4 linked regions of the Arabidopsis thaliana genome follow. The protein of the gene in region 3 interacts with the protein of the main gene of each other region in a pairwise test. Each region holds a gene or a part of one and is shown on either strand. Other genes may lie near its edges.

The links.
Region 1: the proteins of PYL6 (region 3) and MYB77 interact in binary tests that used the Arabidopsis thaliana proteins (3 or more experiments, as listed by UniProt).
Region 2: the proteins of PYL6 (region 3) and RCN1 interact in binary tests that used the Arabidopsis thaliana proteins (3 or more experiments, as listed by UniProt).
Region 4: the proteins of PYL6 (region 3) and TCP10 interact in binary tests that used the Arabidopsis thaliana proteins (3 or more experiments, as listed by UniProt).

What each region holds. Positions count from the first base shown.
Region 1 is NC_003074.8:18,556,082-18,563,247, forward strand, and holds MYB77 (myb domain protein 77), read right to left. Parts: upstream 3,246-7,166; 5' UTR 2,971-3,245; coding exon 2,065-2,970; 3' UTR 1,526-2,064; downstream 1-1,525. Other genes in the region: AT3G50050 (Eukaryotic aspartyl protease family protein), read right to left, coding at 50-477, 564-684, 763-1,034. UniProt on the Arabidopsis thaliana protein: Transcription factor involved in auxin response. Functions in auxin signal transduction and modulates lateral root growth. Interacts with ARF response factors to promote auxin-responsive gene expression.
Region 2 is NC_003070.9:8,947,583-8,956,991, reverse strand, and holds RCN1 (ARM repeat superfamily protein), read right to left. Parts: upstream 5,831-9,409; 5' UTR 5,682-5,830; intron 5,319-5,681; 5' UTR 5,293-5,318; coding exon 4,900-5,292; intron 4,806-4,899; coding exon 4,559-4,805; intron 4,363-4,558; coding exon 4,250-4,362; intron 4,117-4,249; coding exon 4,037-4,116; intron 3,816-4,036; coding exon 3,674-3,815; intron 3,591-3,673; coding exon 3,510-3,590; intron 3,328-3,509; coding exon 3,223-3,327; intron 3,138-3,222; coding exon 2,955-3,137; intron 2,874-2,954; coding exon 2,781-2,873; intron 2,611-2,780; coding exon 2,471-2,610; intron 2,372-2,470; coding exon 2,305-2,371; intron 2,216-2,304; coding exon 2,093-2,215; 3' UTR 1,832-2,092; downstream 1-1,831. Other genes in the region: AT1G25500 (Plasma-membrane choline transporter family protein), read left to right, coding at 1-127, 225-408, 523-750, 836-952, 1,051-1,284, 1,376-1,555; AT1G25480 (aluminum activated malate transporter family protein), read right to left, coding at 6,116-6,730, 7,017-7,163, 7,257-7,393, 7,493-7,762, 7,864-8,001, 8,186-8,525. UniProt on the Arabidopsis thaliana protein: The A subunit of protein phosphatase 2A serves as a scaffolding molecule to coordinate the assembly of the catalytic subunit and a variable regulatory B subunit. Seems to act as a positive regulator of PP2A catalytic activity.
Region 3 is NC_003071.7:16,842,913-16,850,252, reverse strand, and holds PYL6 (PYR1-like 6), read left to right. Parts: upstream 1-4,058; 5' UTR 4,059-4,428; coding exon 4,429-5,076; 3' UTR 5,077-5,665; downstream 5,666-7,340. Other genes in the region: DREB2C (Integrase-type DNA-binding superfamily protein), read left to right, coding at 403-446, 586-1,588. UniProt on the Arabidopsis thaliana protein: Receptor for abscisic acid (ABA) required for ABA-mediated responses such as stomatal closure and germination inhibition.
Region 4 is NC_003071.7:13,217,755-13,225,250, forward strand, and holds TCP10 (TCP domain protein 10), read right to left. Parts: upstream 4,856-7,496; 5' UTR 4,316-4,855; coding exon 3,230-4,315; 3' UTR 3,224-3,229; intron 3,109-3,223; 3' UTR 2,724-3,108; downstream 1-2,723. Other genes in the region: EMB2785 (elongation factor family protein), read right to left, coding at 145-219, 452-790. UniProt on the Arabidopsis thaliana protein: Plays a pivotal role in the control of morphogenesis of shoot organs by negatively regulating the expression of boundary-specific genes such as CUC genes, probably through the induction of miRNA (e.g. miR164). Participates in ovule development.

The sequences.
Region 1 (7,166 bases), on a different chromosome or scaffold from region 3:
ACAAGATCCCATTCACCAATCAGAAAAAGCCATTCCCTTGGAAACATACCTACGATCAGGGTCCGAGTCCGTAAACACCATATCAGATGGATAATCAAAACCGCCAAGAATCATCGAACCACCACCAACATCCATCCCTCCATAACACAAACCAAAAGAGTTGCTTATCAAACCTTTATCCACCAATTGATCAACAAGACTAAGATCTCCTTGACCTAATCCAATAATCCCATCAGCACGTTGACTATAAAGATCACCGGTTTCAACAGTTTCACAACCGAAAACAGCTCGTTGAGGTGTTAGCTGGCTTTCATTGCCAAATGAAATAAGATCTTCTCCAAGAACACCTTTACTACTACTATGTTCAGCATACTCTCTCTCGTAAACACATTGTTCTCTATCATCATCACAATTACAATCCATGTTACACTTAACAGGTTGATAAGTGCTAGACATTTCTGGCTGAAATTTTGGGTCCTGATCAATAACCATAAGAAAGTTTCAAAATTTGCAACTTTACACGAGACAAGACACAAGATTTGGATATCTAGAGCCATCATTACCTGGTGTTTGCCACATTGTTCACAATCAGAACAAGGAACATAAGTAACAGTACTACCAGAATCAACTATAAGAGCAAACATTTGTGGTGGTGTACCAATCCAAAGCCTCGTAGTGTAATACCTACAAATACGATATAATAGTATATAAAAGAGACATCTTTACATGACCCAGATCGGGAAATATGGAAAAGGAGATTACCCATTAATAAGAAGATCGTCGTAGAGTCTCATGCGAGAGTGAGGAAGTGATTTTGAGTCGGATTTGTGGAGTTTTCGATGTGGGATTGATATGGATCTCGAAGAAGAATTTGGTTGAGAGAGGAACAATGGGAACACCATGGGACGTCGTGATCTAGCGGTTGGAGATTGGTGGAGGAGGTTGTTTTCACCAGCTGTGATTGAATAAGGAAGAGATAAATAGATTAGGAGTGAGAACGTCGCGCCGATTGATGAGATCGACGGCAGTGCCATTTGATCTCCGGTTGGATTTTTCGACCGTACCGTCGGAGAAAATTGGAGGGGAATCAAAAGAGCTGAGTGAGTGGAGAGAAGAGGGGAGACTCGAACGTAACTTTAGATCTACGGGAACCAAAAGCAGCTTTCTTTGAGACAAAACCCAGTTATTGAAACGACGTAGCTTTTGTGTTTTTAACGCATTTTTTTAACCTCTACTTTTTAACATCGCTGTACCAGTGTTTATTTATACTGTAGAATGGTTAAATAACATAAAAATCTTCCTACAATTTATTTGAAATCTTTGGCATGTTGTAAGAGATTTTACTCTATAGTAATTAAAAAGTATGTATTGTTTTGTTGTTGTCAGTTTTTTTATAGATTTAAAACGAAAAAAAAAAACTGATTTTCTAGACAATGTATTTATTTTTTGTAAGAATGTAGAAAGATTGATCTAATTTTTACGATAATTTCTAAATTGTCGAAAAATAATTATGTTAACAAAAATCCGATTTGACAGTAATTAATTTTATATAAAAGTGAAGTAATCTACCAAACCTATAGAAAAGGTTTAATTACTATCTATAGACTATAGAGTAAATCTCTTACAACAAGCAAAAGATTTTCAAATAAAAGGTTCGAATGTTTTCAAATAGATGTTAAATCTATACCTTTGTTGATTTTGATACTACATGTTACAAGGTCTCACTAATCATGGTTACTGTATAGCTCTATGAAAGGATTAACATGAAATTCATCTATACAATATGTAAGAATGTAGTTATCCTACATTTTGTTGACTAACTCAGTATGTCTCTTTGTATGATAATGTCTCACTAATCAAGGTTCAATTTTTAGATTTAGACTTGTTATAGATTTTGGTTATGAATCACCAAAACAAGTAACAAATATTTGAGATTTAAGATTATTCCATAGAAATTTTAATTCCTCTGTACATTTTGTTTTTGTTTTTAATTTTACCATAAACCCCAAAAATGAATGCTCTTGAAAATCCCCAATCGATTCAAGTTTTAACCCTAAACCAAAACTACTCAACCTTAGGTGTTATTACTCCACAATCCCTAAAACCACCATTGCCGCCGGATTCGTATAAACCTCCGACGACGAATCCACCACTTGTTTTCTGCATTTCCGCCATGTAACTCCTCACTTCAGCTTTTATCATCTCCTGCACCACCGTCATAAACTCACCTCTACGTCCTTCTCCTCTCTCCTCTACATTAATCTTCATCTGACTCTCAAATCTCGGAAACATCAACGCGTTGTTGTTATTGTTATGGCTCGAACTCGTGTTCTCAGCTCCAGGTAGTGACAAACTCAACGAAGTAGGTGGATCCTCCGAAGACGAAGACATTTCAACCGGTAACGGCTGCGGAACCACCGTAAAACCGCCGGAAATCGGCATTGGTTTAAACAGCTGAGCAACAGGAGACGACGGTGACGGAATCGTGCTAGAATCACTAACATCGATTCCGTTAGGACTCTCAGGACTCATGTACAATCCAGTATCCACCGGAGCAAAAGCAGAATCAAAGCTAACAGATCTCCTCTTCTTCGGCCGATCCTGATCTTCCTCCGTCTCCGTCACCGTCGTAACCGCCACACCTCCGCTGCATTTCCTCTTAAGCGTAGAGTTCCAGTGATTTTTAACGGCGTTATCCGTACGACCGTTAAGAAGACGAGCAATCGTCGCCCACTTGTTACCAAACTGAGCACGGGCGGTTACAATAGTCTCATCTTCCTCCGGCGAGAAAGGACGATGCTCAACCTCCGGAGATAACTGATTACACCAACGTAATCTACACGATTTACCAGATCGACCTGGAATCGATTTGCTAATCGCAGACCAATTCCTCGGTCCGTATTTCTCAACCATCCTTCGTAGCTGCTCATCTTCTTCTTGACTCCATGGACCTTTAACACGATCCGCCATTGAAACAGATCTTTTGTTTGTTTGTTGTAGAGAAGAAGAAGAAGAAGAAGAAGGTGGAGGAAACTGAAGAGAGGAGAAAAAAGGTATTTATAACAGAGAGAGAGATAGAGAGGAGGATGGATAATAACCGGTAACCGGTAGAGACGGTGGAGAAAGTCATGCACCGCTTCTTCCACGCAAGCGGTTTTGAAAGTTTTGGGATACAGCTGTAGGTGTACACGTGTCGTGATCTCGGTGCGTCTGTTTATTAGTTTATGGAGCGTGTGATACAGTCGAAAGAGAGAAAGGGGAAGCACGCGCGCGTGAGAAGAGAGTGGGAAAAGAAGGGAAGTTAAAGCGACAAAATCACGGAAACCTACAAGGAAAGAGCTCTGATATTATTCGCACAATCTGAGGTGAAAAATTAGAAAGCTGTTTTGAATGTTTATTTGAAAAATAATAATAATATCTGAGACGATAACGGTTAGGTTTGGCAGTTTGGGTAAAGACAGTTTTTTATGCAGATTTCTGACTTTTTTGACTGGACACGCCAGCCTGTATTCCTTGTTATGCAAATTTACCCTTTTCTCTGAAACTTTTTTCCTTTTATTTTATTTTGTAGAATACAAAACGACTAATTTGAATTTTTTTTTGAAGTTACATAAGGTTTAAAGTTTATGGGTCGGGAAATATTGGAGGATAAAATTTGATCACAGTGTTCTAAAAATATTTTTGTTTAATTTAAATGTTATTTTTGTTATTGTATTGTATTATTTTCAAATTGGATGATATATTTAAACAATAAAAATAAAACTGAAATTTTTGAAAATATAAATGTGTAGAAAATATAAAACGACATTAGACTGACACAAAAATTAAAATGCAAAACGACATCTAATTTGAAACGGAAAACGTATTAGATGTTTTTATAAAATATGTTTTGATTCGTTGAACTTGAAACGATATTCGTAACGCTTTTGACCAATAAAGTTTATACATAAAATCTGCATAGAATATAAAACGACGTTTAATATGACACAAAAATTAATATGCAAAACGACATTTAATTTGAAACGAGAAAAGTATTAGCTACTTTTAAAAAAGTATTTTGATTCGTTGAATTTGAAACTATACTTGTAACGGTTATGCTACGTTTTAATTATTCATAGATTTCTTTTTTTTTTTTTCTCGAGAATACAATACACATAATTTAAAATTTGTATATTTTTAAATTTTAAAGTAATTGCAAGTATAGAGCTGGCACTCTTGAAAGTAAAATTTTGATTACACATTTTTAAAAAAAAACATTAACTAATTTATGACTGGTTAAACAGTAATTGTAACAGTTTTGAGCGATGAAATTAATATTTTTTACTTCCTTTTGGTTTATCTTTCTAACTGAAAAAGGTTCAAACTGCCTAGTGCTACAAATTTGGGATAAAAATATTTGTATCGTTTATAGAAATGTGGTTCAGTTTTGTATGGTTTTTTTGTCTGTGACTATTTGTTAATGGTACGTTTTTGAATGCCCCAAATCAAAGTCATATAGTATTTACACAATACGGGAAACTACATTTATATGATTAGATACGATTAATATTCTGTTTCATAAACTTGTTACAAAGAAACGGCCACACAAGATAAAAGTAAGTGGTCGGAAAAATAAAAATAAAATTTGCTGACATGGACAACACGACAAAAGAGTGTTAGGCCAATTGGAATGTGAATGAAATCATATTTATTTATAATATATAGTTTTTGATTGACGAAAATCCAGGCTGTAATCCTCAACAAACAACTAACTGTCGTCCATTAAGCAAACTGCCACGTGTCAAATTTTTGGAACTGTTTTTGAAATTGTGTGTAACTGTCTCTTACGTTAGTAACGCACTAAACGTCATTTGCACCTTCTTCCCAACCTTCATCGAACGGTTTCACAACTTATTTTTTAATTTATCTTTTTCCGTATTTTATGTCGAATTAGTTACATACTAATTAGTCAAATTATAAACGGATTACCGAAACTATTTCAGTTTTGATGTTGTTGGTTTTCAGTTTACTGACCAAACTTTCCCTTAATTGTTATTTCTTTCATACTAATAATACATTCTAGTGACGAAACTAATATTATATGCTGTAATTTTGGGTCTGTAGAGATTACGGGTTTCGGCCCAAAACCTCCTAATATTTTAAAAAAATAAAAAAAAATAATAATAATAATACACTTAGTCTTGGTTATAAAAGTTAACAATATGTTTACTTTTATTATGTGTTCCACATTCTAACATGTCATATTTAAATGATGGTTTTCTTGGTGTATTTCTAATCGAAAACTTATCCTATTTAGGTTATATTATATGGGTTGAATTAGACTATAATATATACCATGTTAAGTTTTATTGGTTTGTAAACTAAATTGAGGATTTGTAAATTGTTTCGTGTTACTTTTTTTTTTTGTCGTAAATTGTTTCGTGTTACTTAAACATTGTTTAGATCTATTTCATTTCGGATCCAACATTTTATTTTGGGTCAATGTATAATTGACACGTACTTTTGCTGTACACTTAGCTAGATTTTGAAAGATGCACGTGAACATTTGGTGAACACATATACCTGAGAGACGGTGCACGATGTAGAATATAATTCCAACAATGTGTGTCTTAGAAACATTGTAATTAAAATATTGGTAATAGGTTGTTGTCAAAAGGAACAAGACGGTGCACGATGTGTGAATATATAAATCAAAGTATATCATTTGCTGTTTGTTGTTAATTAGGGTCCATGCTTCGATTGTCGGGTTTGTTCTCCTAATTTTTAAATTCATTTTTGTAAGGTTTGCCTAACAGAAAAACTCGTTCGATATATCTAAACAACGATAAGCTTTAAATAACATAAAGATCATAATACTAACACACGGTGGTAGATTAGTCGGTGTAAGAGGCGGAAAAACAAATATATGTTGACTGAGTTCATTGTATCATTCGAGACTTTCGAGTTATTTACCATTTAGTGGAATTTTATTTACAGGAATGAAAATTGTTATCTTGTCCCAAAAATATTCGTATGAATATGTTCTCTACACATATACAAATAATAAGTAACATTTAGGATAAACTGTATTCGTATTTATTAAGATATTCATGTTGTTGCCGTTAGTCATATTGAGTGTTAGTTGTTCCATTTAGCCGAGCTCTCTTGGTAGCAAGGGTTCGATACCATTCTCTTCCAATGTGGTTAAATGTGTAATTGTATAAAGTTAATTCATTTTTGTTACTTCTATTTAGAAAATAGATATAGAATTGTTATTCATAACTCACCGTAGACAAACTAAAAATTTAGAAAGCCAAATTGGAATATTCAAATTTTAGCATTTTAATATTCATTTGGTTGAGGAGGAAGAGCCACCAACCAAACCATTGAGTCTGATCATCTTGATATTATTGTAATTTATGTTTGTTTAATATGATCTTTTTAATTTCATTTAAATTAATATTATTGTTTATTATAATTAATGAAAATCTAAGAAACAAAAAAACTTTGTCTTCTTCGTTTATTCATCGTTCGACTATGAAAACAAAACATATCCAAAAAATCAATTGCGAGATTGATTGAAAAAACAAAAATCAACAAAAATATATATAAATAAATTATATCATATGAATTTATATTCAACAAAATTAATTACTTCGTCATTTTTTATAGTGGTGCAAACAAAAAAACTAGTTTGGAGGTTTAAAGAATTAGTAAAATTACTTTGATGGTTTATAAATGTTAGTAAAAGAAATTCGAGGTGTACCAATGACACTTTGAAGGTTAAAAATGTGATTTCTTCTTTTTAAAATCTCTTAAAGAACTATGATCTTAAAAAAAAAACTTATGGTTGTATGAATGTATTTCTTATTTTACAATGATTTTTAACATAATACATATATTTATTTGTGGTTACTAAAGTACAAATTTTGTTTTGTTATGACATCATACATCATAATAATGTGCAAGTTAAATATGAAAAAAAAAAAAGAGTTATACATGACTAAATGTCTCATCTTTTTGTTATTTTTCATAGTTTGTTGATTCTTTTGTTAATATCTAAACTTTACGTAGCAAATAAAAAACCACAAAATTCTTTTGACAAAGTTCAGTAGATTGAAAGGCAAATACATAGAAGATACATGAAATGACAAAAGTATCCATCATCCTTTCACTTTTGACCGACG
Region 2 (9,409 bases), on a different chromosome or scaffold from region 3:
ACATCTTAACAACCTATCTAGCTGTAGTTAGTGTACTATGTTTCTGGTGCAGACTGTTCTTTTGGGGCGGTGCATTCGCTGTTGGATCTCTGTTGCAGTTCTTGTATGTTATTTCAGTTATAGACAGGTGCGTCCGAGGTTGAACTGGTTGAACTATGACTGAACCCCTATGGTCAAATGGCAACAACTTTTTAGTTCTGATGATTTGAGTTGTTCATGTGTAGACTTCCTTTCACAATGCTGGTCCTACGGAAAGCGCTGAAATTAGTCTGGGGACTTCCTAAGGTGATAATGGTGGCACATGCTTTCACAGTAGTCATGCTTTTGTGGATGTCTCTATGGTCTTTTGGAGCAGCTGGTGTTGTGGCATCGAGCATGGGCGATGAGGGACGATGGTGGCTTCTTGTGGTGAGCTGGCAAGTTTTGCATTTTTACTCACGGTTTCTGTTTTCTGCTTTAAGTGTCTGAAAGTAAACATGTTTAGAATTCACTCAATCATTGGAACATATAATATATATGCAGGTTCTTTCGGTTAGCTTATTCTGGACAGGCGCTGTGCTATGTAACACTGTCCATGTTATAGTTTCTGGGATGGTGTTTCATGTTCTCTTTCACTGTGGTCAAGAAGAGTCATCATCGTTGCCTCCTAGCTCTTTGGTAGACTCACTTAGGTATGCCGTGACAACATCTTTTGGGAGCATATGTTACGGTTCACTCTTCACTGCTGCCATTAGAACACTTCGCTGGGAGGTAGTCTCCAGCATCCTTTGCTGTTCGTAAAACATTATCATTGCTCCTCTTGTTAATAACATTAGTCTGCAACTTTCTTTTGCAGATAAGGGGATTCCGGTCCAAGATTTGTGGAAACGAATGTTTACTTTGCTGCGTTGATTTCCTGTTTCATCTAGTTGAAACACTAGTTCGTTTTTTTAACAAGTATGCATACGTCCAGGTATATATATAAATATAGACAGTTTTTAAACAAGCTCATCATCTCCCTCCTATGAGCAATGAGACTCAGAATGAAAAAAACGTTTGGTTAATTATCAGATTGCAGTGTATGGAAAAGGATTCAACAAATCAGCAAGAGACGCATGGGAATTGTTTCAGTCGACAGGTGTAGAGGCACTTGTTGCATATGACTGCTCTGGTGCTGTACTTCTGATGGGAACCATCTTTGGAGGACTCATCACAGGCTCTTGCATTGGTATATGGGCTTGGATCAAGTACAGTGACCGAGTTATAATGGTTGCATCTACGGCTATGTTGATGGGAATGGTTCTTGTGAGTTTTCTTTTGTGCACTCTTTTAGTCACCCAAAAAATTACATGACCAACTTGTTCACTTTGTTTCATTGATCCAATGTGGTGTTCAGGTGGGTTTAGGAATGGTGGTAGTCGAAAGCGCTGTGACATCGATATACATATGTTTTGCTGAAGATCCTTTGTTGATTCAGAGATGGGATGCTGATTTCTACACTGAGATGTCTGAGGTGCTTCACCGTCGTCTCCAACATCGTAGCTCGCGAGCCCGTGAAGTTTTGACGACCGCTTGATTAGCCTATGCCTCCTCTTGGAAAATAGGAGATATAACTGTAGAATATTATGCTATTAGAGGGTGCTAAAAGCGGGCTAACCCTTGTGGCTAAAATTATTTTGTCAAATGATTTATGCTTTCTATTTGTTGAATCATGAATAGGAGGCTGTGGGCGTTTGTATCAAAATCTAATGTATTGATTTTTGTGTTTATTAGAAAAACAAAATCAATTGAATAGAACAAAGTTGATCTAGAGGGGTTGGATAAAGTTTGAAACAAGAACTAGTCAGAAGACCAAACATAGCCACACGCATTTCACTCTATCTCAAATAGTTTCACTAAGGGAGTAGTGTTAGCATTAGTAAACTAAGAAGAATGTATAAGGTTTGGAACAACAGAAAGTGTAAAAAAGGTAATACAATTTTACTAACAAAAATAGTTGCAGTTCATAGCCAGCAACCAAAATGGCGTTTTACACAAACAAACCAAATAAATTGCAGAGAACACGAATAATAGAAACTTAACTTAACGATCATACATATGAAAAAAAAACAATTCAGGATTGTGCTGCTGTGGAACCATCGATGGAATTAAGTGCTTGATTTGCAAAATAACGAACATCAACATCAGGGTCTTCGCTCAGGTCCACCAAACACTGACGGATTGTTTTGTCCACCACCTACAAATTTTTGACACGGCAAAAACATTAAAATTCAACAATTTCCATTAGTTTTCGATATAACTGAGTTATGTTTGTTATGATCGTACTGATTGGTCGACTATGGGGATGAGGGATTGCAGAAGTTTGGCAACGTTGAACTTGATGTTTGGAACTCTGCAGAGATAAGAGGTGTGCAACAACAACACATTAAAAACTAAGAAGTGTTCTTAAACTAGTTTGGCTTATTCATATCCTCTAATCTATCTATTGTACCTGTCTTTTGATGCTTCAACAACCACAGGAAGAAACTTAGAGCATGTGATTTCTGATCCCATTACAGGCGCCATGAGAGATATTGCGCGTAGAACCATCATCCTGTGTAGGTAGTGCGGATTGTTGACCATGTCCAATACCTGTTTATATGATAAAGGTCAATCTGGAGATCTCAATATTTGCAGCTTTAGTGATATCCAAAGAAAAGGGACCAAAGCTGGAGATTAGATGTTATAGGTGAGGTACTTGACATAGATCAACAATAAGATAAACAGACAGATGGTTTTAGTATAAAATGCTCAAAGAATACCTGGGGAACTAAGTGCTGCATTGCCCATTCAGGACCAAACTCCTCTGCGAGGCGCTTTAGGTTGTTTGCTGCAGCTTCGCGGATAGAGTAGACCTGAAGGAGGAGAACAGTGTCAATATCTACAATAACAAGTGAATGAGAAATTTATGCAAACATCAAAGATTCAAGGTAAACCTTGTCTTGCAGCCATTGCATGCAAAGGGCTCCGAGCTTGTCATCGAAAAATCCTATACCTAACTGGCTGGCCAACAGTGGAACATACTCTATTATTGCAAGTCGGACTCTCCAGTGCCGATCCTCAGCAAGTTCTACAATGGCCGGTAACAAGGATTGAGATAGTAGATCAATTCCAATAACCTGCCGTAAAAGATAATTCAGTCACCAACTAAATAAGGAAGCAATAAAAGTAGTATCTAAAGCACACAAGAGAGATGCAACAAACCTGGTTGACTTGATCTAACTTGCTTATGATGTTAAGGCGCACATCAGGAAATTCATCTTTCAAAAGGGAAAGAAAAATTGGTAACAGATGCTCAATGGTTGAGTCCTGTATTGAAAGATTTTAGTATGTTAATAATTTTTTGATAAGGTCTGCAACACCAGTTGGGGCTGGTATAACCACGCCATAACACAAGGTATGGCTGATTTTGTTGATGAAAACCATAAAACAAATTAAATCTCAGAACATTGTCACAAGATGCGAAAATGTTGGCTATCTTCAGTTCATACCTTCCCAAGGATAGGAGCCATCCCCATTATTACTGAAGCTAGAGCAGAGCGGACATGTTGAGAAGAATCCGATGATAATTCCTGCCAGACATCAGTATGTATCAGAATATTACGAGACAGGGGACATCAAACAACTCGTTTATATAGAATTTAAGGAGTCTTACCTTCACACAAGGAAGGATGTGCTGAATCGCAAGCTCTGGATTCAAAAGCCGACAGAACTTGGTCACTTTTCCCGCTGCTGCTATTCGCACTTCAGCCTCATTGTCCCTTAGCAATCTCACATATGCTGGAACCAAATCCGTCCTAGAGATATTATAACATAAATTGTGTCAAAATAAAAAGATACATGTACAAACATAGAACTACCATGGAAGGCTCTTATATGAACGAAAAAGAATAAAGAAAACTTCCAATAGACGCTCTTAGATGCATATTTGTTTGAAGGTCACAAAACTGTTTTACGAGAACGAAAGCCTAGATTAGCAAGGATGACAAAAAAATCAACAATGTCACAAAACACATACCTCGTGCAATCAGGACCCACTGCCTCACAAAGTTCATATAGCTGATTAGCAACCATGTAGCGCACCCTCCAAGATTTATCCTGCTCTCAGAAATCAATACAAACACCATAGAAAAACATCAGAACAGCAAGCTTTTACCGATGAAAATTAAACATGGAACAGCAGACAATTAACTGAAAAATCCATGAATGAAAAAAACAAAGCTCAATTCACCTGAGAGAAATTAACAATAACAGGTAAAATGCGTGCAACACAATCCTGAGGTTCCAACAACTTTCCAAGAGCTGCACACCCTTCAACAGCCAATAGTCTCACAGAATCTTGGTCTGAAATGAAGGTTAAAGTTTAACCAATATAAGCACAGATAAAACAAACATTTCTGAAGAGGTAAGTATCCAATATATTTCATCAAACAGCGTTTATTAATTCAAATGTGATCTCTTTACCATACTCTTGGGTCTATGCAAACTATTTCTAAGTGATGAGCACATATAAAGTACGATATATTCAAACATTAAGTACCATCTTTAGTAAGATCATCGAACATAGTCATGATCTCAGCAATCAAAAAGGTAGACTCGACAGTTGTAGCAAATTTCCCCAGGTTAGATGCAGCAGCTCTTCGCACCATTGGCATATCATCTTTGCACAACTGGCTATAAGTAGCCCGTAACTCAGTCTTCAACACATCAGTGCAACCTTGGTATGCAACATGAAATATACCACATGCAGAAACTCTTGCTGCAAACCATTCACCACCCGCTAACCTCTACAAGACAAACAACAAAACAAAAAAAAAAGCTTTGATTGAACCAACTAACAAAACGGCGTAATCTAGTGCTACATAAATCTCCTAAACTAACCTTCACAAGAGGAACAAAAGATTCAACAAGATCATTCTCTTTCATCTGAGATCCAATCTTACAAAGCGATTCCACAGCTTTTTCTCTCACACAAGTCTCTTCAACAGTACATAGAGATTCCAAAGGAGGAAGAAGAACATGCGCAAACTCAATTCCTCCAACAAACGGAATAAAAACTCCTAACTCCTCAGCCATTGCAAGAAGCACCTCATCGTCATCGTCACTATTCTCACTCAAAAAAGGGATTAACTCCTTCCTTGTACGCTCCTCTCCAAGAGCACGAGCTATAGTAGATAAGCGACGGATCGAGTTCAAACGAAGCTGAATATCATCATTCTTAAGCTCATCTATAAGCACAGCAATGGGATACAACGGTTCATCTACCATAGCCATCTTATGTGAAAGTTCGAATCAAATCACTGCAACACCAAAAATAATTCCTATGAGCTCATTGCTATAAGAGACGAAACAATAGATATTTTCGGATCTCGAATAAAATATTTAGTAATAAATACGAGAAATCATTTACAGATCCTGGGAAAAAACAATTATAGCCACTCGAGTGTTATCTTCGGCTTTATTGATTTTTCTCTACTTGCACAAACAGATTAAGACTATACTGCAGATTTTGAAACGAATCGGGTATGAATAAAACAGAAGAAGCGAGAAATGGGTTCAGATTCACCGGTTCGAAGTTGGATTAAAGGGAATGTGAATCGGAAAATGAAGGTTTAGAGATGAGATCTTATGATTCGTTAAGAAGAAACTGGAAATCAACTTACCGATCCAGGCGTCGGAGAAGAACTGCTTCAGATTCCCAGGAGCGAGAAAAGGTGAGAAAGAGGAATTCGCGAGCGAGAAAAATAATATTCTGCGTTTGATTTTTTTTTACGAAGGATTTATTAAAGGGAAAGATATAAAATGACGAAAGTGTCTAATTGGGCCATTTTGGGCTTTCTTAGGATTGGGTTATGTTGGGCTTTAATCAATTTTTTGCTTTAAAAAATTAAACAGTTGATTCAATTGATACAATGAAAGAAAAACAAAACTTTCCAATTGAGTTTATGACTTTGCCAAAACAAAACAAAAAGGAATTAGGAACTTATTTCAAGACAGCAAACAAACAAAGCAATAATGTATATAATTTTCTATACAAAATCAACTATATCCCTGGAGCTGAAGCAGCTACTGAGTCTGGTCCAGAGTCCAGCTTTTTCTATATCCGTGTCTCGCTAACTTGTTCTTTGAAATCGGCTTTAGTGCTTAGTTCCTCATACGCGTTAACAATATTTTGGAGCCTTGCAACAAACTCGATCAAAAGAGACGCAAATGTAGCTAGCGACAAAGAACTCGCACTTTCATATACTTTGGATTCTATCTCATTGATCATAGAACCGCCTATGAAAGAGACGCTTGGCCAGTTTTCGCGGTTCCTAAGCATCATACTCTCTGTTGATATCCATAGCTGAGAATCATTACCAGCGTGTTGATTCTGATGATGAGGGTTGTTGTTATTGTCCCATATCTGGCTGAGGGATTGAATCACTTTAGACTCGTCGTCTTTGGCTTCGTGATAGTTTTGTTGCGCTTCTTCAGCTTCGGCTTTCTCTTTCATAGCAGCCCAGCTTTCTGAGTTGACAAGTAGGAAGGAGTTACTGTCTATTTTCATCTGTAGTTCCTCTGCTGCTCTTTGAACATCCTTGAGAACGTTCCCTGGGCTTAGCTTCTCCATTTTCTCCACCTTTTCTCCAAACAACCTCAAGACTTTGGCTCCTTCGTTTCCAACTCTTTGAAGTTCTTGACGAAAAGCCTGCCTTTTTTCTGGAGCTGCCTGCAAATCCCACACCAATTGATATCACAAGTCTTATAGGGCATACGACAAGCATTGAACTCAAAGAAAACCATTCACTAGTAACAACAGTAAACTAGGAGATCCCACTTTGCACCTACTCAACAATTATATGACAAATATCCGACTTCTCAGAGTAACAGTCTAGTTAATCACGAAGAGGTACTAGTAGCATTTGAAGCAGGTTGGTATAGTCTCTAATAACCATTATAGCACCTCATTTGCTATGATAGATAAAGTTGTATTTAACAAGAATATGGTAAGTTACCTGAATTTCCGAAAGAATGCAGCCATGCATTGCCATGACCATGAAAGCGCAGTGCCTTACTGCGCCACTAAGTTTGACGTAGTTTGCCCATGGATGGTGGAAAGTCTTATATGGTCCATGTGGAGGCTCCCATACTGCAAAATCAAGCTGAGGAAAAAAGAGGTCATCGTATCTTATCATCTAAATCCTTTTCAAGTTATCTAGTTGCTGCTCAACAAAAGTGTCCTAAGGAAAACACACCAGAGAATCTTCTTGGCTCGTAGATTGGACTACAGACCTGTATCCACTGTATAATGGATCATCCGAAGCTTGGTAAGTGAGAATCTTCGAAGGAATCCTCTCGTATTCAACACATTGCAAGTACCCATTAACACATCCTGAAAGTTTTAGGAAAGCACAAACAAAACAAGACATAAAAAAACAGCCAAAACCCGAAACGAAACAAGAGAAAACAGCCATTTGACGTATCTCTCTACCTTCAAGTGAATTGGCCACACTTTTGAAATTCTTAACAACTAGTTTATGGAGGTCTTCTCCAGCCCAAATGGGAAGTATAAATATGTTCACACCCAAACAGATACCAGCACCAACCAGGATAAGCAAAAACCTATAATAAGCAGTGCTAAAAAAATCTCTAGAGTTGTTTCCAGACACAAGAACAATACAGTATGTCAACAAAAACACCCTGAATGCATATTCATACGACTTCATCGCCGGGTATAGTTTCAAATAACTTGCAGAAAAACCTGATAGACAAACCAACAGATTCACAAGTATCAAAAATAAAGTTAGTATGTTTATTTAAAAAAGGTTCATTTCTAATAAAAATTGAGAGAAATAGTGCAACCTGCAATGAAAATACTGATAATGATAATGAGTTCTTCAAATTCTCCAGCTGAAACAGAGAGTCTAGCTATGCCAAGAGCAAGTCCTCCAGCAGAGAGTGTTCCTATAGCTCTATTAAATCCTTTGACCAATGTTGCTCCTTCAAAAAACAGAGTTAGAGCCAAATTAGATCTCTGAAGACAAGTAATCCTAAGACAGATCTAATGAGAATTTAGATCGAAGAAGACGAAAGTTTTGATTTTTAATCAAAATCCGGAAGATTTGATCGAACAACAACAACCCCAGAATCGATCTGAATCTATAGAATTCGTGAGTCACAGTACCTATACTATACTCAAAGACGACGACAACAGTAAGGATCGCCCAAACAGCATACTTGCTAGCGTCACGGAGTGGTTCTTTAAGGTAGATGACGAAAGAACAGAGTGCGAGAGCCATCCCCATCTTAACGGAGAAGTAAACTTTCCGACGATCGGAACGACCCATCTCGTATAATTTAGCACCGATGTCGTATAAAGCTTTCCAGGAAGCAGTGATCCCGTCGGAGCAAAATCGGAAACACCGGAACTTGGAACGACGGTCATCGATGATGTTTGAATCATTGAATCCGAAATCTGAGCAAGCTTTTCGAGAGAGAAAGGCTTCTCTAGTTTGGTCAGCCATTTGCGTTGATTTCTTCTTCCAAAAGATCACGATTTCATAAACTGAGAGTGAGATGAGATGGTTCGATCAGATGGATCCCACTTTAGAAGAAACCTTAATTATAGTGGGGTCCTGTAATGAAAAGGGGTGAATCATGTTTAGAAAGATTCCGAAGCTATAAGACAACATATAATTTAATTAGTAATAGTATATGATTTTCATTTGTAGAGCAAAAAACAACATGATTTGGCCGTCCATAAAAGATGTTTCTTGTTCTATATGTATATTGTTTCTTACGAAATTTTAAATATTTGAATTTGAACTCATTTAAAGAAATTTGGAAGTAGTCAAATCATAAAAATTTGTATTTTTAAGGACATTGAAAAGTACGATATTTTTTCTTTCTTACCAATATTAGGCATATCACAATTTTTTTATTTTATTAAATCATTGTTTTGCTAAAAAAAAATCAAGCAAAAATAACTATCAATTGAAGAGTAGAGTTTAAAAAATAGTATCACTCATGTTTTTTTTATAATTATAACATTTATTATGTGATGTATAATAGTGTATAATTGTTTTGTGGTAAGATGAAAAAAAATCGTTTCAGTCTATTAATTCATGTTTTGCTGTCACCATTTGAACAACAACACCATTGTAAAAAAATTGCAATCACAGATTCACAGTTCAGGTTTTTACCGAATTTTGAAAAAGTTATTGCATCCGCTCTTTGCCTTCATACAACAGAAGCATCTTATGTGTGGAGGACTACACTTGCATAAAATACCAGTAAAATTGTTCTTCTTATGAGAAAGATTGAATCACACGCTCCCAAATGGATAGCTTAGGCGATTAGTGGGACATGATAGATGCATGATATTAAAGTATGGTTTGGTCATGCGCCA
Region 3 (7,340 bases):
GGGTTTAAGATTTTCTTTTTATCGATTTTTGTTGTTTTGTGTGTATATCCTCCAAGTTCCTTTGTTTGTGTAATAGGTGGAAGCTGAAAGGTTTTTCAATTTTAGGGTTTTTGGGGTTTTTTGTTGACTGAAATTTGTTAATTTGGGGCACAATTTGTCTCTTTTGGATTGAGTTCTGTGCGATTTGTGGATTCTAGTTCGTGTGTGGTTAAGAGACTTGGAAATTAGAGGATTTTTAGCTAAAATAATCGTTAAAGGTGGTACCTTTCCTGATACAGAAGTTAGATTATGGATTCTATGTTGAATCTTTAGGTGATTCTCTGTTTCTGAGTTTGCTCTGTTCTAGTTTCTTAATCTGTTCGTGATGGAGTTTCTTTCTTGCTCGCTGTGATGCTGCAGATTATGAAAACTTCTTCTTGTAGCTACTTCGGTGTAATTACGTTCAGGTGGTTAAAAATTGTTTCTTTGAAAGGTGCTTTGATCCGAAGTATAGTTGAACCTGTTGCTTGAAATTTTGTGAAGAGAGAAAATTGGAGTTCTCGAGCATGTTGCTAATCTTGCTTCTATCCCCTTTGATTCTACCAGGAAAAGGAAGTCTCGTGGAACACGAGATGTAGCTGAGATTCTAAGGCAATGGAGAGAGTACAATGAGCAGATTGAGGCAGAATCTTGTATCGATGGTGGTGGTCCAAAATCAATCCGAAAGCCTCCTCCAAAAGGTTCGAGGAAGGGTTGTATGAAAGGTAAAGGTGGACCTGAAAACGGGATTTGTGACTATAGAGGAGTTAGACAGAGGAGATGGGGTAAATGGGTTGCTGAGATCCGTGAGCCAGACGGAGGTGCTAGGTTGTGGCTCGGTACTTTCTCCAGTTCATATGAAGCTGCATTGGCTTATGACGAGGCGGCCAAAGCTATATATGGTCAGTCTGCCAGACTCAATCTTCCCGAGATCACAAATCGCTCTTCTTCGACTGCTGCCACTGCCACTGTGTCAGGCTCGGTTACTGCATTTTCTGATGAATCTGAAGTTTGTGCACGTGAGGATACAAATGCAAGTTCAGGTTTTGGTCAGGTGAAACTAGAGGATTGTAGCGATGAATATGTTCTCTTAGATAGTTCTCAGTGTATTAAAGAGGAGCTGAAAGGAAAAGAGGAAGTGAGGGAAGAACATAACTTGGCTGTTGGTTTTGGAATTGGACAGGACTCGAAAAGGGAGACTTTGGATGCTTGGTTGATGGGAAATGGCAATGAACAAGAACCATTGGAGTTTGGTGTGGATGAAACGTTTGATATTAATGAGCTATTGGGTATATTAAACGACAACAATGTGTCTGGTCAAGAGACAATGCAGTATCAAGTGGATAGACACCCAAATTTCAGTTACCAAACGCAGTTTCCAAATTCTAACTTGCTCGGGAGCCTCAACCCTATGGAGATTGCTCAACCAGGAGTTGATTATGGATGTCCTTATGTGCAGCCCAGTGATATGGAGAACTATGGTATTGATTTAGACCATCGCAGGTTCAATGATCTTGACATACAGGACTTGGATTTTGGAGGAGACAAAGATGTTCATGGATCTACATAAGATTTCAAATTTCGTTTGACTGGCCTAAGTTTGTGATTCTGCTCCGAGACGGTGTAGCTGTTACTAGCTAGAAGCTGCCCTTCTTTGAAGCTACTGATACTTTCTGATATTAATGGTTGTGAGACGTAGTACATGTAGTTAGGTAATGTAGGACAAGTTCAAATATGATTCCTTCTTTCTTTTTCTTGTGAATACATATGACATATGAAGAAGTTCAAACGTTGGGTTTAGAAAAAGTTTATAACATTCGGTACATATCAAAGTTTTGAACTTCGGATGCATATAAGCTATAAAGTTTTGATCTTTGAACTTTGGATACTCTCACATCTAATTTTCATCCTTAAGAATGGAGATGGAATAATGCGATGTTGCGTAGTGGTTTTATTGACTTGGCAAGTTTTGATTATTCAAGAAACTTGGCTTAGTTTAATGGAAATATCCAGTAGTGGAGTTTTTTGGTCTGCAGACTTTCCTCAGGTTGTCTGAGATTACATAAGCAATGAGGTATGAATAATAAAGTTATCATTAGAGAGTTATCTATCTGTATTTTCTACAAAAGGCAAATTGGGTATTTGAAAGTGCAAATGGGACATAGTTGTATATTATTTAAAAGGCTTTAACTATTCCATTCTGGTCTCCAAAATCGTTTTTCTTGCTCGAATCTTGAAGATCTTCTAAGCCTTTAGAAAAATGAAGAAATCAAGTTGGCAAACTGTTAATTAATTAAATCCAATGAATTGGTGGGTATTGCACCTCCACAAGTTCCCTTTGACAATGTGTCCTCTTCTCCGCAAGAATGAGATGCAACTATTTTGGACAATTTCTCCTTTTAATTACTTTTTGATCGATAATCTTCTCTTAATATCACGTTGTAATCTGATTCATTCAAATATCTATCGAAATTTAAGCTTATCTTTGATTTTTTCGATACTTATTTTTGAAATTTTAAGTGCATTTTGTTTATAATCATAGTTGGGGATTTAATAATTTTAGGTGGAATAATATTTTATGCATATTGGAGATTTATTTCTCGAGAAATATTCACAAACAAACAAACAACCGGCTTTTGCACAAAAATAATAATGACATGGAGTCGAGTTGTTTATACTAATGTTTGTCACTATCTCACCATTGGAATTTAAATCTTGGATATATAATACATGTTTTGACAAAAAAAAAAGTTGGCACAAATTATGTTGTTGTAACAAAATACGTCTGATGCATTGATTTGAGATTGACTCTTTGAACCCAAAAATGTATCACCGTAATATTAATACATTTTCCACATCAACTTGTAATCTATTTGTGTTCAGTAATATATTGGTGAGTGATTATGTCACCTAACCCGAAAGCTTATAAGATGAGCAATCTTTATATCGAGGATGGTGCAAAAAATAGCAAATTGTAACTTTTTGTCCTTCTTATTCTATAAAATGTCAGATATAATTAGTACTGCAAATTGCTCGCTTATTCGTATTAATCTTAACAACTAGGGCTACTTGGGAATATGTATAGTTGTTGGAAAAACTAATGCATTAGATAACCCTTTATTATTTTTCCCAATTGTGTTTTGTTATTATGCCCACCACTCAAATCCAAGAGTCCAATATATTCATATGATTTGAATATACGTTTGTGGAAGAAAACACACCCAAGAAATATTGTCCAATTCGTAAATTTCCCTGACTTTACGTTGGTTACTTTTAGCAAACTGCTTAGTTTGATTTTCTTCTAATTCGTCTTATTAATATTCTGTTCTTTTCTTTGTTGAAAAGGAATTTGATTAATACTTTTTTTAGTATCGTCGAAAGGCTCAAGTTGATTACAAGATGAGGAAAGATTATTATGATGGACCCATGACATGATATCTTCACCAACTTGGAACATTGAAAGTCCTATGGAGTTATTTTTGAAATTTTTACCTTAGTCAGAAGGTTCCAACAAAATTAAAAATCCACCAAAAACGCATCCAAGAATAGTACCAACTGAAAATAGATCGGCAATCACAAAGACAAAGGTCGGTCCTCCCAACCAATTTGTTTCAAGAATTTTTTCAAACCTATGCATAAATTAAGTATAGCTCTTAACCAATATATATAGCTTAACCAACTCGACACATAGTGATCATGTTCTTATAATCTTTAATAACGTTTTAGAGTTAGCTATATATATAGCCTCGAGACAGTAGAAGATTGAAATATCTATGCAAAACCTCAAAGATAATGTTCAATGTTTTTATATTCTGAATATTGATATAATCGGTGAGATAGAGATGAGTTCAGAATTTTTTTCTCGGTATCTTAAATGATATTGATTTCATTTTCTCAACTTTCATTCAAGAGTGTTTTTGGTTAAAACATAAAAACGTCCATTCTAATTATAGTAATGCTTGTGTGGTTACGACAACATGCTCATTCATTGTAATAAACTGGTGAAATATATAGCACCATTGACAAATAGACAGCCTCAGTAACAAAGCAAGGAAAAACAAAATTAAAATTTAATAACCGGTTATATTAAATATCGAGAACCAGTCCGTAGAATTTCATGGGAAACCGGGCCGGTCCTTGATATAAAGAAAGAGAGAGACGTTTCTTAACTGAAGCAGTACACAAACTCCAAACAAATCCCAAGTGGACAACCGAAGAACCCACACAAACTAACTCTCTTTCCTAATCCACATACTTGCATTTTTATATATAAACACTCTGTCCTTATATAGTTCTGTATATTACATGTAAATATCTCTCATTAATACAACCTCACGAAGAAAACCATTTGTTTTCTTAGAGAGAGCCAAGAATATTAAAAGAGATATAGAGAAAAGATTTGCTTTAATAATGCCAACGTCGATACAGTTTCAGAGATCCTCCACCGCCGCAGAAGCAGCCAACGCCACCGTAAGAAACTATCCCCACCACCATCAGAAACAGGTTCAAAAAGTGAGCCTCACGCGCGGGATGGCTGATGTGCCGGAGCACGTGGAGCTTTCCCACACGCACGTGGTTGGTCCTTCTCAGTGCTTCTCCGTCGTGGTACAAGACGTGGAGGCTCCGGTTTCCACAGTCTGGTCGATCCTAAGCCGCTTCGAACACCCTCAAGCGTACAAACACTTCGTGAAAAGCTGCCACGTGGTTATCGGAGACGGTCGAGAGGTTGGGTCGGTGAGAGAGGTCAGAGTCGTCTCTGGTCTCCCCGCGGCGTTTAGCTTAGAGCGGCTTGAGATCATGGACGATGATCGCCACGTCATCAGTTTCAGCGTCGTTGGTGGGGACCACAGACTCATGAACTACAAGTCGGTGACGACGGTGCATGAGTCGGAGGAGGACTCCGACGGCAAGAAGAGGACACGTGTCGTTGAGTCATACGTCGTTGACGTACCGGCGGGTAACGATAAGGAAGAGACTTGTAGCTTTGCTGATACTATAGTACGGTGCAACTTGCAATCGCTGGCTAAACTCGCCGAGAACACTTCTAAATTCTCGTAATTACATTTTTTCAATCTTTTTATTTTTATTTTATTTTCTATATTTCTCTCTTTCAAAATTTATCTTTTATTTTTGGGATTCTCGAGGTGGTTTTGGATTTTAAGATTTAAGTATTTAACTATCGTCGGGGATTTTTCGAAACTAAAACAAAAAACAAGAATTATATCAAACAAGATGGTTTTGGTTTTTCGAAGTTAGGGTTTTTAGGGTCTGTTAAATGTATGTCTCAACGATACTTTGGTTTTACCCTTAAAACCATTTCTTCTTGTACAGCTCTCGTAGCTTTATTATATAAACATTGATTGTTTAGTTATTTTCATAATCTTCTTCTTGCGCCGTATTTTACATATTTATTATTTGTCTTTTAATTTAGTTAATCATGAAACAATATAGACTATATAGTGATTCAGCTATAATGCATGGGGTATATTGTTACGATATTTCCGATATTATTATGTCTAATTTCATTAATTTTGATAACCTACATAATAATGTATTACACAAACAATTTGATTAATATAATCATTGGCATATCTACTATATATGAAGAGATCTGAACAATTGTGGGCAATCAGAAAACCCATACATGTGCTGATTGAGATGATTCGTTTTCCTTTATGTTAAGAGAAGAACAAAGTAAAACTATACATCATTTGAATTTTATTGAAATGTATAAACAGTAGAATACTACTTGGTGTTTTAAATGAATTTGCTCACCAGCTATATAATCAAAGCGTTCAATCCTAAAAGCAAAGATGGAATAATATCAATTAGTGATAATTAAACTTGAACCAAGGCGTAATGCATGTATTGAGTTATGTGATATAATCTTAAGAATTTTCTTTATGGCATATATAATGCTAGGCCAAAATAAATGGTGTCAGGTAATACAGCATTATATCTTTAATTCCCTAATTTGGAAACGTAAAATTTTCAAATTATTTGTCATTTCATCAACAAACTTTACATAAATACGTAAATGTTTTGTTTTTACTCACCAAAAAAATAAATCAAAATTATTTACATACCAAAATGATAAAATTTCTTAGTTCCTTTTATAGTTTTGGGATGCGTGAACCGTTTCAATAATTCAAATGTCAAAATTATTACTTTTTCGGATTTCCTTGTCCTATATATTAGTTCATGAATAAAAATGTACATTTGAAAAATCAAATAACTTTATCTAGTTATATAAATATAAAGAATCCAATGAACAAGATGAAAAGACATTCAAAGTTTGCAAAAGCAAAATGTGTTTAGTTACTTTATAATTAAGTAGTAAGATTTCGAGACTTGTGAACCAAATTCAAAATTGAATACATATATAGACATTCATGTATATGATCGTACGTAAAATGCAAGTTGGGGTGTAATAAAATCCAACTTGTTATAGAAAAAAAACAAAGCATGCAAGTTGCAAAGGAAAAAAAAAAAAGTCGCTACTATTCTTTGACACCTTTAAAAAATATTCCATAAATAAAAAAAAGGTTAAAGAAAAATCAAATTGATTACATAAATGATTATTAATTTATTATCATAATGAGTACGAAATATATATGTAAACATTGTCGTGGAAGGAAGGAATTGCAAGTTGATATGCAAGTTGGCAAGGAGGCTATTAATGTTTTCCCTCTTTTGGTCGTTTGTATAATGACATTTAAACCCACCCACCTTTCTTATTTTCTTTTCTGTCTTCCTATTTCTGATCACTATTATTATATTACTTATATTTTATTTCACATTTTTTTTAATTTTATAAACCCATAAGAAATTTTTTTCCCTTTTATTTACATATGAAAACATATGTATTCCCGTGTCAAAAAAATGAAAATTCTGACCAATCCAGAGAGATACGATTTATGGGGTTTGTATATTCCAATGTGGCATGTTGCATATAAACTACTACTATTTAACTAGTTTCTTAATAATTCAAATCCAAATAAACATGCATAAAAGATTGTGATAACGTACATAGCTGTGATATAATATGCATTACTTTTAAAAAGCAACGGAGATAGTTCGTATTTTCATATAGTCTTTAGCTGGGCTATCTAACACTTTAACTAATTAGAATAAGATATAAAGTTTGCTATAAAATGTAAATAGATGATTTATCCAATATATACATATGAGTGTGTCTGAAAAAGGCAAACCAAATTCAATGTAACGTGAAGAACACCGCCTCCTTCCTTAAAGTTTATTGGGGATAGATATTTTCGTCCATGATTTTAACTTCTACGATTTTAGGTTTGGAAGCATTTCGG
Region 4 (7,496 bases), 3.6 Mb from region 3:
AGTAAGGAGTATCCTAATGTCAACAGACCATGAGTAGGTATTGAGAACTTCTAATTAATTTATCTTTTGTCCACTAATATGCATTTCTACTAAAAACGAGCATGAGAATCAAATAATACGCTAAAAGTAAGATCAGTATCATACCTCACCACCAAAATCTGCGTGACCAGGTGTGTCTACCATGTTAAGTTCGTTGTCCTTCCAAAATATTGATGTCACCTGTCGGAAAATTTGACATAAACTTTAAATGTCGTGTAACGTGGTGATAAATAACAAAATCTCAGGGAATCGGTAAAAGAACACATCAAGTTACAGACATAACAGAACAAACTGAGAAAAAAAAAAGAACAGAACATAAATATGCTTTGATAGAGTCTCAGAATCATTTTCAAACAGAACCATTTTCAAAATTGTGAAGTAACAATTAACTCTAATTCCAATCCAAACATACGAAAGGCGATACCTTTGAAGAAATAGTGATCCCTCGTTCACGCTCAAGATTAATAGAATCCATAGCACGCTCGTGAGGGATATCAGCACCACACTGACGAAGAAGCCTGTCCATAAGTGTTGTCTTCCCGTGATCGACATGAGCTATCACAGCCACGTTTCTTAGTCGATTAGGGTCAAGCGAGCTATTAGGAGCTCCGGCTGCAGCTGTGGAAGCGGTGGCTGCTGAAAAGGAGCGTAAGGAGGAGAGCGAGTATCCGAATTTGGAAGGTGATGAATGAGAAGAGAAGGATCTTCGAGTGGTGTTTGACCAAAGAGATCGAAGCAAAGGCCCCGCCATCTTTGTTCACGCGAAATGGTCTCTGATAGGGTTTTAGATCTAATCTCTGGTGACGATGACCAAAGGGTTTTTGGTCTAAAACTGTTTGGAATTTATTTGATCGTTATTTACAAAATAGGACATTATCACTTGTAGAATCTTATATTTTCCCTATACTTTTCAATTGCTTATATTACTCCCACAGTCCTATTTGATTATACAACCATGGCTTTTATAGTTTTATGTAGAAATTAAAACCTCTCATTATGTGATATTCGGTTTTTCCATTAATAATAGAAGTGATTCCGATAAGTTGATACATATAGCGAAGATGAACTGAGAATTTGACTCAGCTTATATGGATGAAGTGGTTTACATATTGTTATGTAATATTTGTAGGACGAAAAGGAGAATTCATGATAGATTTTTGCAAACTTTATAAATCTATTTATGATCTATCCACAAATGTTCTTAGAACTCTTTATTATTTTTTATTTGAGATTTGATAATATTTAATGTTGATCATATATATTGTATTATGGTAAAGTTTTGTTGGTATTTTGGTTTATGTGGATGATACCATATGATATTTTGGTTCTTTTTTGTAATTGACAATTCGGCTATTTAATTACTTCCAACTCAAGGATCTTGGTCATCTTCGGTACTTATCTATTTTGGAAATTGTTAGATAAAAAAAAAACCATTATGTTTGTCAACGCAAGTTACATCTTCGAGATGTTGTCTGATAATGTTTCTTTTGGTGGTAAACAAGGTCAATTCTCATATGCACCAAGGGACATATAGTTCATAAGATTGTTTGTTTCTTAAAGGAAGCATTGGACAAAGCTTGTTTTTACTTTGCTGCTCTAGACCTATATATTTGAGGTTTCACTGCTTATGACTAGGCAAGTTATCCACAATTTCGTATGTACTATGTATCTTGGATTTTATGTTCAATGAAAATTCATCCATTTCATTGTCTATCAAAGCTAAATACAAAGTTATGGCTCTTGGAATTTGTGAACATGTTTGGATTGCCTATATTATGTAAATATATATTTTGGTTTTATATTATGTAAATATATAAAGCATGCTTCTTATGCTCTCTCTGTGTACTCTACAGTGACAACACTTTAGCTCTTCATATTGCTCGGAATCTTATTTTCACGAAAAAAACTAAACACAGAGACATATATTTTCATATTGTTTGGCGTATCCGATATAGTTTTATGAAGGGTGTTTGATTTTGATTGTACCGGTTTGCTCTACCGCATTCCTGTCTGTTGGTTTAGGTTTGTTGGGTTACACTTACATATAGTACAATCCTTTTGTAACAAAACTGTAGATGGAAGTTGTAATCCTTTTGTTGAACTCTTCTAATAATCCAAGCACAATCCATAATCAAAAGGCCAAAGTAGTCATTCTCGCAGTAGATGACTTTTAAAAGTACGAACATTCTGTAGCTTTTAACGTCTTGTATAAAAATGATGATCATCGTTGGGAAAAATATTAATGATCATCATGTGACAACAAAGTACAAACTCCTTTAACCTAAATATATTATCATGTATTTCATCAAACCAAATATATGTACATATATATATACTATATGTAAAAGTGCCAAAAAGTGATAAATGTCATTCTCTATATAGCCCGCCTATCTATATGACTAAAACAATTATTTCAAGATGAATTATAGAAAAATCTTCTGTCAAACCCAATTAGACCAAGTAAAGCAGACTAAACTATCGAGATCCTTTGGTATCACTGTCACAAAGCATTGAATACTCAATAGCAACTTTTTCATAAAAATCCCAAATTTGTAATAAATTTGACTTTTCTATTAAATAGTCGCAACTTTTTAGCAAGCTAAGCTATATTACAAAAGAAAATTGGTATCTGCACAGATGATAATGAACACCTTTTTCTTCATTACTCATGTAATACGACCTATGCTTTTAACGTTCTTCAATTACTCTTTACTTAACCGAAGAAATAGAAACCGCAAGTAAAAACCAGAAAATTCAAACTCACTCGTAGAACAAAAATATGAGATTACAATATCCCAGCCTAACGCCAGTACTAAACCAAAACACACATAAAACCCATCTTTTCAAATATCACAATCTTGATGATCAATGCAAAGATGATAAGAAACAAACAAGCAAAATTGAATAATAATAACAAACACTAAATGAGTAATAATAGTCTTGAATCATAAATATATGGATAGATGGTAATACTAATTAATATAGCGCTTACTCTAGCTCCATTCATCACATTAATTTCCTCCTTCTTGTTCAATGCATGTCATCATGAATTTGAACCTCCATGGTTGTCTGAAAGAAATACATGTGGTAATTTAATTATGAAAGATTTAATTATTGTCTGGTTTCTTGATTAATAACCTATTATACTTAAAATATATAAATACATTAAAAAGAAGAAGCAAACCTTAGTTTAGAGGTGTGAGTTTGGAGGAGAAGAAGAAGAGTTTGGTTGAGTAGCTTCTTCTCCGTGGAGTAGTCTTGTAGTGTTGGGGAAACTAAGGCCTTGCATCATCATCATCCCATGAGAACCATACTGTGATGATGAAGCAAACATCGAAGAAGCTTGATTCTGATGATGATGATGATCCGACGTCGTTTGATGATGATCCCAAGAACGAAACGAATGAGGGAATAAACTGGACTGAAGGGTACCCCTTTGTTGTTGTTGTTGTTGGCCACCAAGAAACACTTGTTGTTGCTGACTATTAAGCAATGTCATCATCGACGGTTGATGATGATGATGGTGAGGATGATGATTCACCATGAAACCACCATTACTCCTTTCTTCTTGTTCTTGTTGTTGATGTTCTGATGAGGATGATGACGTCATAGTTAAGTCGTGATGATTCCATCCAGAGATTCTCCCGAACGTGTCGAAATGAGTCGTGGTGAAATTGTTGGTCTCGGGAACTACGACTGTGTTGTTGTTCCCTTGAAATGGGTGAAGAGAGAGACCAAGATCTTGGCTAAGGTTTGGTGGTGGTGTTGTTGTTCTTGAGACCATGTTGTTGTCATCCTGATGAGGGTAGTTTTGGAAATTGATGTTTGTACCACCACCACCGTTTGTTGTTGTCGTCGCCGGGAAAAACGTTTTCATTGCGTCTTCAGGATCAAGATTGGCCGCCACGAACTGCGTTTGGTCATTGTTCTCTCTTTGGAAAACCAAAGTGGGAGATTCCGGTTTAGTATTCACCGGTTCTTGACGAGTAGTAGTAGTAGTAGTCTCCCCGAGTTCAAGCTTATCAATAGCGGTTTTGGCTTTCTTGATGAGCCAATCAACGGCTTTGCTAGGCCGGTCATAACCTAACCGGTCTTGCACATCGTAGAATTGAATCGCCGTGTGAGCTGAGAGTCTCACGCGCCGGTCACGTGGACCCTTTGATGTGAACACTTTGCTATGACGGTCTTTGCGTCCAGTGGCTCGGATTATGTGACCGCCTTGAACCTCAACTATCTCTCCTCCTCCTTCTCCGACGCTATATCCTTTAAGTCCCATTATTTTTTTACCTTTCAAAATGACATTCCAAGAGTTGTTTTAACTTGGAAGAAAAACTTGCGTGCCGTTTTTGTTGCCCACTTGCTTTGTTTACCTCTTCAAAATGCTTGCCGTTTTGTTGTTATTGTGGTGTTTGGTGTGTAGTGAGTTAATAACATCTGATGCAGGCTGGACACAGCTACCTGAAAGCTGCTACAAGAAGCAACTCTTCTATGCAGATCCCCAAAAGATCTGCCATGGCAGTCACAAGATTCAATGACCCAACATACCCAAATCAAAAAAGGGAAAAAATGAAGAAATATTTAGAAGAAAAGAGATTGGAATCTTTAGTCTAGGGTTTTCCCAAAGAGATGAGAATTTGGACAACAAAATTGATATTAAAAATAAAAGAGCGAGAGAGAGAGAGAGAGAGAGAGAGAGATGCTACTTTAATATATTGATATGTTTAGTTGGTCTAAAATCGAAGGACAAGAAGAAGAAGAGGAAAAAAAAGAGAGAGAGTATACTATTAGATTGTTGGTGGAAAGGATAGCAGAAGTTAAGGGTTCAGAATAGGAAAGTAAACTAAATAAATACCCTTTTGCTTTCAACCTTTTGTTCCTTATTATAAGATTCCTATTTCACATATCAACATGTGTCCTTGTTAAGTTCTTAGCCACATATTTGTTTATTTCAAATTTTTTTGTTACAGAAAAATTCCTCAATCATTATTCTTCAATCATGCGTGCCATATCGAATTCTTGAAACATACATAACTATATATATCATATAATAAGGAATATAGGAAAATTGAAAAACATCAATAAATGAACATATATCATATCTTAGTTACACCAATTTGTAATATTTTGTTTGGTTAATGTCAAATCCTCCTTCACTAATTAATTAAAACTTGAAAAGCATATGTTTCACACAACATACACACACATTGGTCGGCTTAGGATTACATGCTAATCAAAGTCGACAATGGAATAATTTGACTCTAGTATGATTTTTTTTTTTGGTAAGCTGAGGGGTGGCAATTGCCTACCCCAATTTATTAAGAACAAACTACAAAAAATTACAATAAAACAGCTCGAGGGAACTCTGTTCCATTAACATCTGCGAGCAAAAGTAAACGGACTCCCTCTGGGCATGCATCAAAACAATGAAGCCCTAGCGGCAAGGTAAAGGCATAGTTTGCTAACCCGTCAGCGAGACGGTTAGCTTCCCTATACACGTGTGACACACGGACTAACCAGTCCCTCGTAAAGAAGCCTTGGCACAACCGTACCAGGAAGGACAGCGGATGAGCGTTGCTTACCCCTGTGCTTAAAAAACCCACCACCAACTTGCAATCCAAGTCTAACTCCACTCGTCGAAACCCCTTGTCCCACGCAATGAGCAGCCCATAGTAGGCGCCCCATAACTCGGCTAATGGCGCTGCACAAGATCCAATGTTTAGTGCAAAACCACCTAGCCACTCCCCCTGCCCATTCCGGATGGCCCCTCCTGCCGCAGCCAGCCCGTGATTCCCACGGGACGCTCCATCCGTGGTAATTTTCACCCACCCATCGCTTGGAACCTGCCACCTGATCATTCTTTCCACCCGCACACCATTAGGCCGGTTACCAACAGCACCAACATGTACTCTCCTCACCTCCTCCGCCATGTCTTTGATGAACTTCAGCCTGTCCCGACAAATCTTTCGTTCCCCAAACACATCACAACACCTCCACTTCCAAGCCCACCAAATTCCCATACCAAAAAGAGTAGGCCAAATCCCCTTTACTGGATCCATATTTGTAAATAACCACTCCAATAAAGACTGGCTAAAAAACTCATGATGTCGTCTCAGTGGCAGCAACCGACGCCAAATCGGTTCCATAGCGGGGCAGTCACGCAACACATGGAGTATTGTTTCCTCGGCTCCATTACACACCGAACATATAGCATTCTCACTCAAATGGCGCCGGACTCTCTCCACATTAGTCATGATCACATTCTGGCTCACCAACCAAATAAACACCCGTACTCTCTCAGGCGTGATCAGCTTCCAGATTCTGTTAAAGAAGCTCCCCATATTCGGCCTGTCTCCAACGTCACCTTGTAGGAGGGAATACGCAGAGCGGACTGTGAAGGCCCCATCCTGTGTACCCTTCCATGATATCTCGTCTCCATTACCCAGAAAAACCTGAACCACAACCGAGAGCAACCGCCTCTTAACTGTCTCTGGCAGATACAAACCCAGAATTTCCAGGTTCCAACCTGATCCCGGCAACCAATAATCGGCTGCCACCTTTATTCTCTCCCCCTCCGGTATCATATCAGTCCCAAGCTCCACCAACGGCTCCTGCAACAGCCAGCGATCCAACCAGAACCTTATTGTGCACCCATCTCCAGGCACCCATCCAACGCCCTTAACCACCACTTCCCGGAGCCCTACTGCCACACTTCTCCACGTGGAGGACCATCTTGGTTGTGGTTTCAGCCAGCTAGTATCTTGTACTCCACCCACTTTGTACTTTTTGCGAACAACCCGTGCCCATAAGCTCTCTTTATCTTGAAGCAGACGCCACCCCACCTTGGCTACCAAGGCCTTATTCATATCACGAGCAGACCGTAATCCGATCCCTCCCTCAGCTTTCGGCTTACATATCTTACGCCAAGATAGCAAGTGTTGTTTTTTCTTCTCCATAGTACTCCCCCAAAGAAAAGTTCTGGAGTATCTATCCAAAGTATCAAGCGTAGAGACCGGTAAAAGAATCGCACTCATTACATGAACCGGGATAGAAGACAGAACCGCTTTTGTCAGAGTGATTCTCCCTGCCAAGCTCAAAGATCGGCCCTTCCAACCCGCCAACCGAGCTGAAACTCTTTCCAACACTTCTCCAAACGTCTCCTTATTCATTCGTTTCTGTAAGATTGGCATACCCAAATACTTCCCCAGCTCTTTAGTGCAACCAATCCCACTCTCTTCACTTATCAATTGCTCCATTTCTCTACTCACATTGTGAGAAAAAAATATTTTCGACTTCTCTAGGCTGACTTTCTGTCCCGAGGCCTCACAGAACCGTTCCAACACCCGACGAATGATCCTAATTTGCGCTACCGAAGCTTCTGCAAAGAGAATCAAGTCATCTGCGAAGCAGACATGTGACAACTTCGACCCCCCACATGACACTGCTATCGGTTTCCATTC